Linked DNA regions of Ovis aries. The protein of the gene in region 3 interacts with the protein of the main gene of each other region in a biochemical or structural test. Links are inferred from orthologs where the notes say so. Each region holds a gene or a part of one and is shown on either strand. Other genes may lie near its edges.

The links. The genes of interacting proteins can lie anywhere in the genome.
Region 1: the proteins of APOA1 (region 3) and haptoglobin form a complex in vitro, tested with the Homo sapiens proteins (2 studies listed by BioGRID and IntAct, with this or other methods). The link is inferred for Ovis aries from reciprocal best matches to the Homo sapiens genes APOA1 and HP.
Region 2: the proteins of APOA1 (region 3) and LCAT form a complex in vitro, tested with the Homo sapiens proteins (6 studies listed by BioGRID and IntAct, with this or other methods). The link is inferred for Ovis aries from reciprocal best matches to the Homo sapiens genes APOA1 and LCAT.

The regions. Positions count from the first base shown.
Region 1 is NC_056067.1:38,561,633-38,566,255, reverse strand, and holds the start of haptoglobin, read left to right. Parts: upstream 1-1,287; 5' UTR 1,288-1,317; coding exon of another isoform or gene 1,318-1,322; 5' UTR 1,323-2,888; coding exon 2,889-2,950; intron 2,951-3,463; coding exon 3,464-3,537; intron 3,538-3,818; coding exon 3,819-3,917; intron 3,918-4,195; coding exon 4,196-4,267; intron 4,268-4,623. UniProt on the Homo sapiens protein: As a result of hemolysis, hemoglobin is found to accumulate in the kidney and is secreted in the urine. Haptoglobin captures, and combines with free plasma hemoglobin to allow hepatic recycling of heme iron and to prevent kidney damage.
Region 2 is NC_056067.1:34,984,350-34,988,939, forward strand, and holds LCAT (phosphatidylcholine-sterol acyltransferase precursor), read right to left. Parts: upstream 3,337-4,590; coding exon 3,183-3,336; exon of another isoform or gene 2,973-3,182; intron 2,469-2,972; coding exon 2,312-2,468; intron 2,236-2,311; coding exon 2,120-2,235; intron 2,026-2,119; coding exon 1,930-2,025; intron 1,848-1,929; coding exon 1,623-1,847; intron 686-1,622; coding exon 111-685; downstream 1-110. Other genes in the region: SLC12A4 (solute carrier family 12 member 4), read right to left, coding at 4,109-4,424, 4,540-4,590. UniProt on the Homo sapiens protein: Central enzyme in the extracellular metabolism of plasma lipoproteins.
Region 3 is NC_056068.1:27,235,607-27,239,942, forward strand, and holds APOA1 (apolipoprotein A-I), read right to left. Parts: upstream 2,841-4,336; 5' UTR 2,702-2,840; intron 2,504-2,701; 5' UTR 2,484-2,503; coding exon 2,441-2,483; intron 2,259-2,440; coding exon 2,105-2,258; intron 1,506-2,104; coding exon 905-1,505; 3' UTR 838-904; downstream 1-837. UniProt on the Homo sapiens protein: Participates in the reverse transport of cholesterol from tissues to the liver for excretion by promoting cholesterol efflux from tissues and by acting as a cofactor for the lecithin cholesterol acyltransferase (LCAT).

The DNA.
Region 1 (4,623 bases), on a different chromosome or scaffold from region 3:
CAACATTAAAAAAACGAAGATCATGGCATCCAGTCCCATCACCTCATGGCAAATAAATGGGGAAACAATGGAAACAGTGAGAGACTTAATTTATTTTCGTGGGCTCCAAAATCACTGTGGATAGTGACTACAGCTGTGAAATTAAAAGACGCTTGCTCCTTGGAAGAAAAGCTATGACAAACCTAGATAGCATATTAAAAAGCACAGACATCACTTTGCCAACAAGGTCTGTATAGTTAAAGCTATGGTTTTTCCAGTAGTCATGTATGAAGGTGAGAGTTGGAACATAAAGAAGGCTGAGTGCCAAAGAATTGATGCTTTTGAACTATGGTGCTGGAGAAGACTCTTGAGAGTCCTGGGGACAGCAAGGAAATCAAACCAGTCAATCCTAAAGGAAATCGACCCTAAATATTCATTGGAAGAACTGATGCTGAAGCTGAAGCTCCAATAGTTTGGCTACCTGATGCAAAGAGCTGACTCACTGGAAAAAACCCTGATGTTGGGAAAGATTGAAGGCAGGAGAAGGGGGTGACAGAGGATTAGCTGGTTGGATGGCATCACTGACTCAATGGACATGAGTTTGAGCAAACTCCAGGAGATAGTGAAGAACAGGGAAACCTGGCGTGCTGTAGCCCATGGGTTGCAAAGAGCTGGACACGACTGAGCAACTGAAAAACAACAATAAAACCATGATAAGCACTACCATTGAGTATAGTTTGCATCTACACTATAGCCTTAACCATTCTGTGTGATTTGTTGGAACAAGCAATCAGAGAAGACACAATGAGTACATTTTACTGATTTCAGGTTGGAGAGCTTTGCAGAATAGGAAGATGGCAACACAGTGTGGGGGACATGATTGTGAAAAGGAAATGTTTACTTGAGAGCCCCGTCTCAACCAGATTGCAGGAGTGTCTCTAATGGATTTGAAACAACCACAAGAAGGGCTTTGTCCAGTGCTGAAAAGCATTCAGAACAAAGAGACCCAGATTGACGGTTCCTGCCCCTGTCCTGCACACTGGCTCATTTCGGGAAACCCTTTGGCAGCTGCATGGGGTAGTGATGTGGCCAGGATTCTTTGGCTCAAGCATGAAGAACACCAGGGGAAACATAAGCATGAAGCAAGAGCTGAAGTCTTTAACAGAGAGGTTGTTTGTGGCTTTGTTACTGGAAAATGTGAGTAACCTTAATAAGGCCAAAGTGTGGAGACACAGCAATTACAAAATCAAGAAGGGGGTGGAGTGAGATACTGGGGACATAAAAGCATCAGCAGGTGCCCCCAACAGCACTCCTCTTCCAGAGCCAGACACACCAAAGATGAGGTGAGTCCACAGTTTGCTCCTATCCCTCACTTTTCTCTGGATTATTTCATCCTTCTTTGGATATATCTTTTATCTACATGACAGCCTGGGTACAGGAGAGGCCTACAGGAGAAATGCAAAAAATATAACGAAGAAAAATAAGGCAAATGGACTAAATCATAGACTTTGTTTGCTTTCTGATGCACAGCGTGCAAGTATCTTTTATCCTCTCAAAGCTTCTCAGGGTTTGTTCTGTCCTTGGCTCTGACTCCTGATTATTTAGGGTGGATCTCACTCTTCTTAGACTTCCCTGGTGGCTCAGATGGTAAAAGCATCTGCTTACAATGTGGGAGACCTGGGTTCGATCCCTGGGTTGGGAAGATCCACTGGAGAAGGAAATGGCAACCAACTCCAGTATTCTTGCCTGGAAAATCCCATGGACAGAGGAGCCTGGTGGGCTACAGTACCACGGGGTCGCGAAGAGTTGGACATGACTAAGCAACTTCACTTCACTTCACTTCACTCTTCTTTGCCTGGGGGAATCTACTCCTGTGTTTGGTTTTAGAGCCAGGAAGCACCAAGGCTCAACCAGTATTTATGATAAGAATTATCTTCCAAATAGTAGTGTGTTTGTAGAGGATCCTCTATGTTCTATGTGCTGCATAAGGTTCTGGAGGAGATATTGGAAATGGATTAAAGCTTGGTCCTTGACTTCTAGGAATTATGAATTTGGAGCAGTCCTCTCAGTCATTACCTCATTGTTTTCCAAATTTCATTCATTTGCACATCAGCTTCAAGGTTCTTGCCATATTCCTGTGCTGCCCATACCACTTCTTTTTGTAACATTCTCCCTGGGGTGTCACTGGCAGCTCAGTGGTAAAGAATCTGCCTGACAATGCAGGATTCGATCCCTAGGTTGGGAAGATCCCCTGGAGAATGGAATGGCAACCCTACTCCAGTATTCTTGCCTGGGAAATCCCAAGGATGGAGGAGCCTGGTGGGCTACAGTCCACTGGGTCGCAAAGAGTTGGGCATGACTCGGTGACTGAGCACACACATAGTGAATAAAGGTTTACTGTGCAAAAATTCTCTGCTTTTCTGTGTCCATAAAAGGTAACGTTTTCAGATGGTGCTGTCTTCTTTCCCATGAGACGTGACTCTCTCTAAGGAATAGCTTTTTCCTTGAGATTATAAAGTTTTCATCTTTGTGGGGAAGCCAGTAGCTCCTGTGGTAGACCTCCTGACGTTTTTTCCCCCTTTTTTGGCCACACCACATGGCTGCGGGATCTTAGTTCTTCAACCAGGGATTGAACCTGGGTCCTTTGCAGTGAAAGCTTTGAGTCCTAACCATTGGACTGCCAAGGACTTCTCCCTGGCATTTTGAATATGCCTATTAGCAGATTAAAAAAAAAAAAAAACATATAATGAGAAAGACCAGAAGCGAAACATTTGAGTGACACAAGGCACTCAGATTTTATCAAAACAGACAAATTTTTTTTCTGAAATGTTGAAATAATGAAACTAGGAACTTAACCAAGCCATCTCTGAGTAGTTGCCATCTTCCAGGGAGATGGTCCACGGGGGGGTATGGCCTGTGCGCTGATGCCCATGTGCACAGTCAAGCTTCTGCGGAGTCCGTTATCATCCAGGTAACCTTCTGGAATTTGGGGGTTCGCTATATGACTTCCTGAAGTCAAATTCTCATAAAATAATAGAAACAACTACATCAGTGTTTTATATTTTAGGGAACCTCTTATTATGAAAAATTCCCCAAAGTAGAGAGAGTAGCATAATGATAAGCCCACCACCACCCCATTGTCTAGATACCCACATTCTTTAGTGGAACCCTCGTAGCCCAGCACCTCAGGGTGCTTCCCACCCCAAGGGAGGCTTCTCTTTGCTGAGGAGCTCATATGTTGTCAACAATTTAGTGTTTCCTGAATCCTGCTACACACTGAGGCCCAATCCCTTCCTAATCTTCCTTGCTCTTCTCTGAAGCTTCTGTAGAATTCCCAGCAGCATGGAACACATGGGAACCTCTGTGACTGGGAAGCTGCTACAGTATGCATGTGGGTGGGTGAGGGGTTTCTAGGTAACAGGAGGGGAGTGTGTGTGTTGAAGCGGGGAGACCAGCAGCGCCCTCCTTTCTGTCTTCTCTGCAGCGTCCTTCCAGCTGTCATCACTCTCCTGCTCTGTGGGCAGCTTCTTGCAGTGGAAACTGGCAGTGAGGCTGCAGGTAGGTCTGCCTCTGGGCGAGGGCTGTACCTGGCCGCATTGCTGCATCCCACTTGGGCCCATCAGATCTGCATGCTCTCCAGGAAAATCCAATTGCTCCTTATCCTGATCTCTGGTCTTTCAGTATCGTAAAGAACATTGGGGAGCCAGCCAGCCAGCAATCTCTCCTGGGCTTCCGTTTGGGGTGTGGGAGGTTGATATGCTGTTTCTTCTCTCCTGATTTTTCCAGTCTCTAGGGGCAGTTTCTGAAAATGAACCTTGTCTTCCTGTTTTCCTTTGCAGCCGGCAGCTGCCCAAAGGCCCCCGAGATTGCCAATGGCCACGTGGAGTACTCGGTTCGCTATCAGTGTGACAAATATTACAAACTGCGTGCTGGAAATGGTAAGCCTGGGCCAATGCCTCCGGGTCCTCCTGTCCCAACCCCGGACTGCCTTGAGACCGTCTCCACTATTGCCACGACTGCCACAGTCACCTTGCCCATTGTCTGTCCTGCTGAGCTTTACTGGCGCCCCCAGCACTTGGCTTTTAGCATAGTGCTCCTGTCTTGCTCCTCTTCCCCAGCCCTCCCTGCTCCTACTTCTCTGACTCTGCCCTTTAAACACCTTCTCTTCTAGTGCTAGGTGCAGCTTTTGGCTCATTTTTTTTTCTTTTTGTTTCAGGGGTGTATACTTTTAACAATAAGCAATGGATAAACAAGGACATTGGACCGCAACTCCCCGAATGTGAAGAAGGTAGGAAGTCAGGCGTGGGAAGCAGATTGAGAGTGGGTACTGGAGGGGTTGGTGCATGGCAGGTATCTTGATCGAAACATCCTCAAGGCACATCCTCCCTATGAGGCTTCCCCTGGGCACACACCAGCCGAGGACAGGGACTGGGGGGACCACAGTGGGCCGGGCAGAGACGTGCACAGGCAGGTGATGCTTCCCCATGAAGTTCACTTGGGATGCGTTCATCTGGTCTCCTGGCCACTGACTGAATCCACTGTCCACAGAGGATCAGGGGACCCTATATGTACAGAGAGCCCACCTAGAGATCCCTGGGCCAAGGGTAAAGCAAGCTGCAGGAAGAACAGGTCAAGGAAGGGCAG
Region 2 (4,590 bases), on a different chromosome or scaffold from region 3:
AAGCTCCAGGCCTGTGGCTGCAGATGAATGCATCCTGGTGTGAGGACCCTAGTGCCTTTCCTTCAACCCACAACACACATGTCAGGGCTTTTAACAGCAAAGGAAAGTCTTTATTCAGGGGGCATGGGCTTTGGGCTGGCAGTCGGGGGTACAACAGTGCTATTTCGGTAGGTACCCAGCAGGATGGCATTGATGTGCTCCAGTGTCTGATTGCTGAAGACCATATTGAGGTGCTGTGTCCCTGGCAGAGGCAGCAGGTGCACGGGCTGTTTCTGGCGGCCCTGCCAGCGGGCACAGAGCTCGGTGCTACGCGTGGCCACAGTGTCATCACCATCCTCATATAGCACATCCACAGGGTCTGTGTAGGGGAAGCCGTGGTCATAGATGTAGGTGCTAGGAGTGGGCAGGCCTATGCCATACAGACAGTACACTTCCACGCCAGGTGCTGGGAGGCCTGCCAGCAGGTCACGTGACTGGAGCCACATGTACCAGCCTTCCTCAAAGTGCAGGTCTGTAAAGAAGCGCTGCATGTCACGGCTTGTGTAGTTGATGCTGGGGGTGGAAATGAACACGTGGTCCTCAGGCCACGTCTGCCTGGCAGGAAACATCCAGGGTGACGTTGTCGTCATGCGCTGCTCTTCTTTCAGCTTGATGCTGGACATGATTGGGATGCCTTGGTTGTCACCTGGGGACAGAGAGTAAGGTGGGACAGGGCTACTCCAGCCAGCAGGCCTGGCTACTCCAGGCCCACAACTTGCCCCCCAGCCCAAGCCAGTTGGACACTCAATCTTGTCCTTACCCAATCCAAACACAGACTCCAAGTCCTAGACTAGAACCGGCCTAGCATTCAAGAAGTGCTCATGTGTACTTGTTAACTGAGAAGCCCCCATGGCACCTCTGACAGGCAGAGCTGGAGGGCTACAACAGGAGGGTAGGGGAGCAGTGTTTCATGAGGACGGGAGTATGAGTTGGGGGGATATAGTGCTGGCAGTTCTGTCTCAGGCAAGTGTCTGTTGACCCTTGTGGCCTGTGCTGCACAGGGCTCAGAGCTGTGTTCTGGGAAGGATGAAATGAGACCCATCTCTGTTTGACACCCATTGATGTGGTCTGGTGTTTCCTTCACTTCAGCTCCTAGGGGTAAGACCATGTCCAGGTGTGCTTAGCCTACAGTACATGCTCCACACGAGGTATCTGTGCCACTCCTCAGGGAAGGGCAGGAGGGGCTCCTGGGGTCTGGCCCTGGCTTTGGCAGATCTGCTGTGGCCTGGCTTAGGGAAGATCCGCGTGCAAAGCACCTCCTGGGAGCTGAGTGGGTAGACCTGAGGCCAGAAGGAACAGACTTCAGTCAGACTGAGCAATGAGTCAGGTTGCTGGGATTCACTTCATCTTTGTTTACCTCCCCTTTATCATCGCTGAGACAAACTGTCAGCAATTTGTCTAACAGTCCAGGCTGGACTCACTGCTCTCCAAGGACAATGAAAGGGGCTATTTCCCAGAAGTGGTAGACAACACCCCCCAGCTGGGCATTGTGAGAAAACAGGAGTAGGGCTTAGCCCACAGTCAGCTTCTTTCCACCACGCCCCCACATCCTATGGGACCCAAGTGATCACAGGCCCTCTCACCTGAGGCCAAGACTAACATAGGCTTGATGGAGCCTCCCCAGGGAGCCCCGAGAGAGATGAAGCCGTCGATGAAGCGGTCCTTCCAGGTCTGGGGTTGGCGCAGTAAGAAATAGAGCAGGTGCAGGCAGCCAAGGCTGTGCCCAATGAGGAAGACCGGCTTCCCGTACGTGGCATGCATCTCCTCCACCAGCCCAGCAAGCTTCAGGTAGTACTCTTCCTGCTGGCCTGCAGCGGGGATGGGTCAGCATGGCTGGAGGTGGGGGCCTCTGCCCTGCCCCCCAAGCCCCCTAAACATAGACACACTCACTAGGCTCCAGCCGCCAGTCGTAGGGGGCGGCCCGCACTGTCTCATCCCGCACGTACCCGTTGTTGACCAGGTTCTGTACCAGTGTATGCATATAACCTGTGGGGAAGGCGGCAGCACCAGGGGCTATGGCCATGGCCCCTGCAAGCCCAACACAGCCTAGAGCCCCACCTCTCCCTCAGCACACACACACCTGCCAACTTGCTGCTGTCCAGGTACTCGACAGAGTAGGTCTTGCCAAAGCCGGGGACACGGATCTGTACACCGGGGGCATTGGACACCCGCCCAGAGCTGCGATTGTACACAACCCTGGGGGCAGTGGGACATTCAGCAGACCCGGCCAAGGAGCAGGGCAAGGGACTAGGCCAGAGGGGACAGCACCCACCTGGTGTTGTCGATCCAGCAGTCTACCCCAAGGGGCAGGAACATGTTGAGATCTAGCCAGATGGTGAAAAAGTCCTCTGTCTTGCGGTAGCACATCCAGTTCACCACACTCGGTTTATCCAGCTTGGCTTCCAGCTGATTCCCCAGGCAGCCGGGCACTGCGGGCACCAGCCTTCACTCTGGATCCCTCCCATTCCCCTGTGGTGGACCCCGCCCTAGCCTCACCTCCCCGACACCACAGTCACTAGCCCCACCCCTTCCTCTCCTATACACACCGTCAACCCCCAGAGACTAAGGACAAGATCCTTTCTGTTCATATCCACTGCTCCGTCTCCCCAAAGCTCAGACTCCCCCAGAGAGGGAAGATCCAGTGGCCAAGGCCACTGACCCCTGCCCCCACAGAGCAAACAGCTAGCATGACTCTCCATCTCTGCCAAAGTCCAAGAGGAGAACAAATAGTGTGGGGAGCGGGGGCAGGACTTGACAGGCCTCTCCTGCTCTCCTGGGCTGGGCACCTCGTCCTTGCAGGGGTGGGGGCTGAGGAAGGAGCGGCGGGGGGGAGAGAGGGGGCTGGACCCAGGGTCTGGCTACAGCTACAGCTGACCACAGCTTGTAATGCCCTGACCAAGCCCTCCGGCACACCCACCCGCCACTCCACCCACCTGGGGGAGACACCTTGGAGACACAGGAACAGTGTGGTGCGAGAAGGGGTGGATTTCTCCTCAGGACAAGCCTCTGGCCCCTCCAAACACTGAGTTAAAAATCGGGGCTAACGCATGGGCAGAAGGGCATCGGCAGGCTGTGCTACCAGGGGCGGGGGCCCTGGTTCCCCAAGGGCTATCCCGGGTGTATCGGGCCTGGCGGGGGCTTACCGAGGATGACGGGCCGTGTGTGGTTACTGAGCTCGGCCTTGGGCGTGGTGTGCGGGGGGAACAGCACATTGAAGAGCCAGAAGGGGGCAGCAGGGGGGAGCAGCAGCCCCAGCAGCAGCAGGACCCACTGCCGCGGGGAGCCGGGCAGCCCCATTCCAGCCCTAGTGCCTGGTGCCCGGTAAAGCGGTCCTGGGCTGGCCTTATCTGGAGTAGGGGTGGGAGGGGCCCCAGGGCCAGTGGGAGGGACAGCCTGGCCAATGGGGCTGGCCAGCGGTTGCCGGAAAGGGGCACAGCCTCAGGGAGCCGGCTCTGGGCCTGGATTCAGTCCCGCCTTCTTCCCCCGTGCCAGGGGAAACAGAGCCGGGGCAGCGGGAGGCCCAGAAGTACACAATGTTTTATTGAAAAAAGTCAGGCTTCAGCTGGCTGGTTCCATTCAACTTGGCTTGGTGGGGGTCCCCGCCCACAGGAGCTGAGTCAGATCTTCCTGCAGGCGGGCTGGGCTGGATCCCTCCCTTGTCACCCTTCCCCTCCTCTCTGATGGTGACATCCAAACAATAAATATGCAATAAATAGCGCTCCCGGGCCAGCTGCCTTCAATCCCCATGTCAGCCCCCACCAGTCTTCTCCAGTCAGGACAGGCATCCTGGCGTGCTGGACGGGCAAGTCCCCGAACCTCTCAGGGTCCCGAGGGACCTCAGATCCATCTCCATGGCCAGGTCTGGGCCCAGTCTCCAAGGAGACCTAGTAAAGCTGGGTCCAGGGTGAGGCCAGGCAAAGTGGGGCTGGCAGGTGGGTGCTGGAGGGGGGCTTTGTGTTACCCTGGATACCTTCACTCTAGGCCACAAGTCTATACTGGGCTCAGGAGTAGATGGTGATGACTTCACGGCCACCGCCACGTACCAAGAGCACTCGTTCGAGGCCCTCGGTCAGCACCTCCAGGAACTCCATGTCTGTGGGGCATCAGTCAAGGAAGTAGCGCCCAGGGAAGCACCCAGGGAAGTCTGGCCCATCAAGCAGAGCTGGAGTACCCTGCAAACGCCCAGGGCATCCAGGGACAGGAGCTCCCAGCCTGACCTCATATACTGCCCATCTCCCCACCAAAGGATCCAGTTCTCATCACCCTCGCTGTTCTTGGGCGGTCCGGGCATGTTCAGTAGGACCAGGCGGGCGTCATGAGAGCGTGTGACAATGACTTCATTGAGCTTCACAGCCGTGTGCATGCGCCGCACATTAGACTGGTCCCTGCAGATAATGTGGCTGATCGTGGATCCCAACCCTGGATCACCCCACTGGGCTCATCTGCCCCCATCCCACCCCCAGGCTGGGATACGGCTGGGTCCATTTCTGCTGCACTCACGGCTTAATATGCACCAGCTCCCGGAAGTTGTCGGGCGTGTGGCTGGGGTCC
Region 3 (4,336 bases):
CTGCATCCATACCACCCAGGATCTGGGAAAGCGTACAGTGAGATGATGGATATGAAAGCATCTTGGAGATTAGAATGAGCTAGTTACTTGCAAGAGGTGGTGATTATTTTTCTTAGGTCAGAATACAGGGGCTGGCAGGCTTGGAGCCATGAAGATGGGGCTAGCGCTGCTGAGCCTGAGGAAACAGCAGCTGTTCTGGAGCTGGGTGGGAGTGTGAGGAGTGGCAAGAGGCCCTGGTGACAAAGAATGTGTTTGTTAAAGTACATTTTGAATTAATAAGGGAGGAAGGAGCAAGCGCCAAGCCCTTCATTTGAACCTGCCCTAGGAAGGAACCACAGGAAGGTTACTGTGGGAACCTTGAAGTCCACAGGCTCATTGAGGTCCCTCCAACCTCAGCTGCCCTTGAGCAGAAGGGCTGGGGAGCTATGTCCTCTGCCGGGAGAAACGCTGGGCACAGGGAGCCCACCTCTCCCAGCAAAGCCAGTACTTCCTGCTTGAAGCTCTTTGAGGGCACCTGCATTGGATCATCTGTCACTTTGCCTGGTCCTCTCTTTCCTTCCTGTTTGGGCCTCCTAATGAAAGAGCATCTCCTGCCCCACCCTTCAGCCCCCAGACAAGCAGTCCCTGTAACATTAAGGCCCTGAGAGGCCAGTGTTTGGAGCTCAGGACTCCATTGGGACATCACCAGGTGTCCCTGACCACTACCCCCTGGAGGCCCCTCCAGGATCCCCCCATGCCCATTCTCCCCAAACAGAATTTTTGGCTTTTGGAAAACTTTATTGTTTAAAAATCATCATCGAATCTTCAAACAACAACAAAAAAAACCCATCACGCGCGTTCCACTCCGGAAATGTTTATTCTAAGAAACCGAAGAGATGCCCAGGGTGGGGCAGCCCGAGGCATCTCACTGGGCGTTCAGCTTCTTGGAGGCCTCGTCGATGGCGGCCAGGATGCTGACCTTGAGGCTCTCCAGCACGGGCATCAGGCCCTGGCGGAGGTCCTCCAGCGCCGGCTTGGCCTTCTCGCCCAGCGCCTTCAGCTGCTCGGTGGCCTTGGCGTGGTACTCCGCCAGGCTGCCGCCGCCCTCCTTGAGCGCCTCCAGGCGCGCGGTCAGCCGCTGGCGCAGGTCGTCGCTGTAGGGCGCCAGCTGCTGCCGCAGCGTCTCCACGTGCGCGCGCGCGCGGTCGCGGAGCTCCTGGGCCAGCGGGCTCAGCTTGTCCTGCAGCTCCTGCACCTTCTGGCGCGCGCCCTCGCGAAACTCCTCGCCCAGCGGCGCCACCTTCTGGCGGTAGATCTCCACCTCCTCGTGCCACTTCTTCTGGAACTCGTCCAGGTAGGGCTGCACCTTCTGCCTCACCTCCTCCAGGTCCTTGTGCATCTCCTGCCTCAGCGACGCTGTCTCCTTCTCCAGGTTGTCCCAGAACTCCTGGGTCACCGGGCCCAGCTGTTCACGCACTTTGGACAAGGTGCTGGCCAGGGTGTCCCAGTTGTCCAGGAGTTTCAGGCTGAAAGGGGAGAGAGAGGAGGGCTCAGGCTAAACCTCCTGGGCCCCCTGGCTACCCCCAGAGCTGCAGCCCAGCGCCCGTGCTTGCCCCGTGTGAGACCTGGGCACACCTGTGCCTGAATGTGGGGTAGCTGGGGACAGATCCTTAGCCTAGCGTCTCCCATCCACGGTCTGCCCCCCACTCCCCACTGCATCCCATTGACCAGATGGATGCAGGAATTAGAAGGAGATAGAGCTGAAGCTGGTTTTGGTGCCTGATCCTGTCTGTCCCCAAAGGTGGGCCTTTTAAGGACCTAGTCTCTACTCTTCCAGCCCATTCTCCTCTCTGAAGACAGCCATCTCTGTTGCTGGCTGGAGCTGAGAAGGGAGTTAAGAATAGGCAAGGGCAGAGTGCAGTGCGGAGAATACTGACCAGACAGCGCTGGTCTGCCCCTTACTGGGGGGCCCTGATCCTGCTTGTGGATCCCACTTCTTGCTTCTATGGGGCCCATCAAATAGGAGGTGGGGGTTGGGCCAGTCTGGCTGCTTCTTCCCACAGGCTTCTCCATCCCCCAGCACCAACACCCCTGACCCCTGCCCCAGGCACAAGCGGGTTCTTACTTGAGCTGTTTTCCCAAAGCGGAGGCTTCAAATTGGGCCACATAGTCTCTGCCACTATCCTTGATTGCTTCCACATACACGGTGGCAAAATCCTTCACCCGATCCCAGGACGACTGTGGCTCATCTTGCTGCCAGAAATGCCGAGCCTGGCTCCCTGGGAAGGAGAGGGGAGACCCAGATCAGACCAGCTCTGGGCTGGGATCTAAGCAGAAGTGCTTGGCAGGGGAGAGGGGTGGAAAGGAGTAATTCTGCTTCCTGGGCCCAGGAGGGTGGTCCGCAGGGGTTCAGGGAGAAGCCTCCCCCGAATCGTTGGCTCCCTAGGTTCGGGGCACCTACCCGTCAGGAAGAGCACAGCCAAGGTCAGCACCACGGCTTTCATCTTGAAGGGATGTGGGTGACCTGGAGGAGAAGAGGGGCCCAGCTGAGCAGGGCTTGAAGAAGCCCATGCATCCCCTACTCACTCCAGCCAGGGAGGAGGAGGCGGGGCACAGGGTGGGGAGGGCCAGGGGTCCAGAGCCCCCAGCCTGGGGTAGAGGCTCCGGCCAGCATCCCAGAGCCTCAAATGCCTAGAGCTGGGGAGCGGGTAGCAGCACTTACCTCAATGGCCAGCAGTCTAATCAGCCAGCTCTCCCCCAGCCTATTTATGTGTCCAGGCAGGGCTGGGCTCAGAGGCTGATAAGCCCAGCCCAGGCCTTGCTGCTGCTCACTGGTCCTGGCGATGTGGAACTCAGAGTTCAAGGATCAGCTCTGTCCCTGGGGCCAGACAAATAGAGCAGGCAAACAGGAAGCTACGGGGGCTGCAGGGCCAGGGATCAAGGGTTCCAATAGGGGTGGGAGGGGGTGGGTACAGGCTTGCAGGTCCCCAGAGTCGGGGTCAGCTGCACCGGCCCATCTCCTCCGTGGGGATTGTGTGCCTGCCATTGTCCATTGTGCCATCGCAGCGGGTGAGAGGAAGGAAGGAGGAAAAACACAGAGGCTGCCAAGGCCGGCTGGGACTCCTCCACTCAAGAGGTATTCTCCCCTGCTGGCCCCTCGCATTCCAGGGTGATTATCTCACCCCCACCCTGCCCCAGCTTCACAAAGGCAGCAGAGGTTTCTCCCATCAAGGCTGTCCCATCTCTCTCTCACCCCCACCCCTCGCTCTAGGCCCTCGCAGACCTCCCAGACTGGAAAGCAAAGGGAACCTTGTGCTTGGAGGCTGCCTGAGGAGAGAGAGGAGGGTACTCAGTGGCCCCCAGACTTTGAGACGTCTAACATTTCCAAACATACTCTAGAGACCAACACAGAGTTGCCAACTTTTCATTTTGCCATCTTACGCACCGCCACTCCCAACCTGACCCAAACCCTACCATCAGCCGTAACCAACCATAATCTCTTCCAAACCGATTTTTTTTCAAGTCTCTATTGAATCTGTTACAATATTGCTTCTGTTTTATGTTTTGGTTTTATGGCCGTGAGGCGTGTGGAATCTTAGCTCCCTGACCAGAGATTGGTACACCCCCTGCATCGGAAGGCGAAGTCATAACCACTTATCCTCCCACAGAAATTCCAAGATTATTTTTTAAAGAACTTCCCTGGCGATCCAGTGGTTAGGATTAAGGGCTTTCCCTGCCAAGGGTCTGGGTTCCATCTCTGGTTGGGGAACTAAGATCCCTCAAGTGGAGAGGCATGGACAAATAAAAAAGATTTTTTAACACTGAAAAAGGGCATGATCTCTGAATAAAGGACAGTCACTTAAATGGGATACATAGATCTTTGCATTGTTCATTTTGGCCTTGCATCCCACACAAGTGAGAATGGACACCATCCCTCAGGGATGGCTGATGTCGAGGAAGGACCTCTGGACTGCTAGCGGCAGGAGCCTGTTCTCTTATTTCATCCATTTTTGCCTTCAACTTGCAAAATCCTGGAGGAAGCTCATGAGCCCAGTATGCAATCTGAGTTTGGTTTCCTATCAGTAAAATGAAGACAAAAATGGGAGTGGCTGGAGGACAGACCCAGGGAAGTTGATGCTATGTGTTCATTGGTGTTTACAGTGACATTTCCTGAGATTTCTCCTGGAAGGTGTGAGACCCACAACACCAGGTCGCCGACAGGGCCTGGGTCATAGAACCTGTGAGCATGCAAGCAGACAGGAGTTTTGAGATCAGCGTCTCTCCACCCCCATCTCCAGATGAGGAAACTGAAGACTGGAGGGATTTGCCCAGTGTCCCTGATCTCCCAGGGCATGGG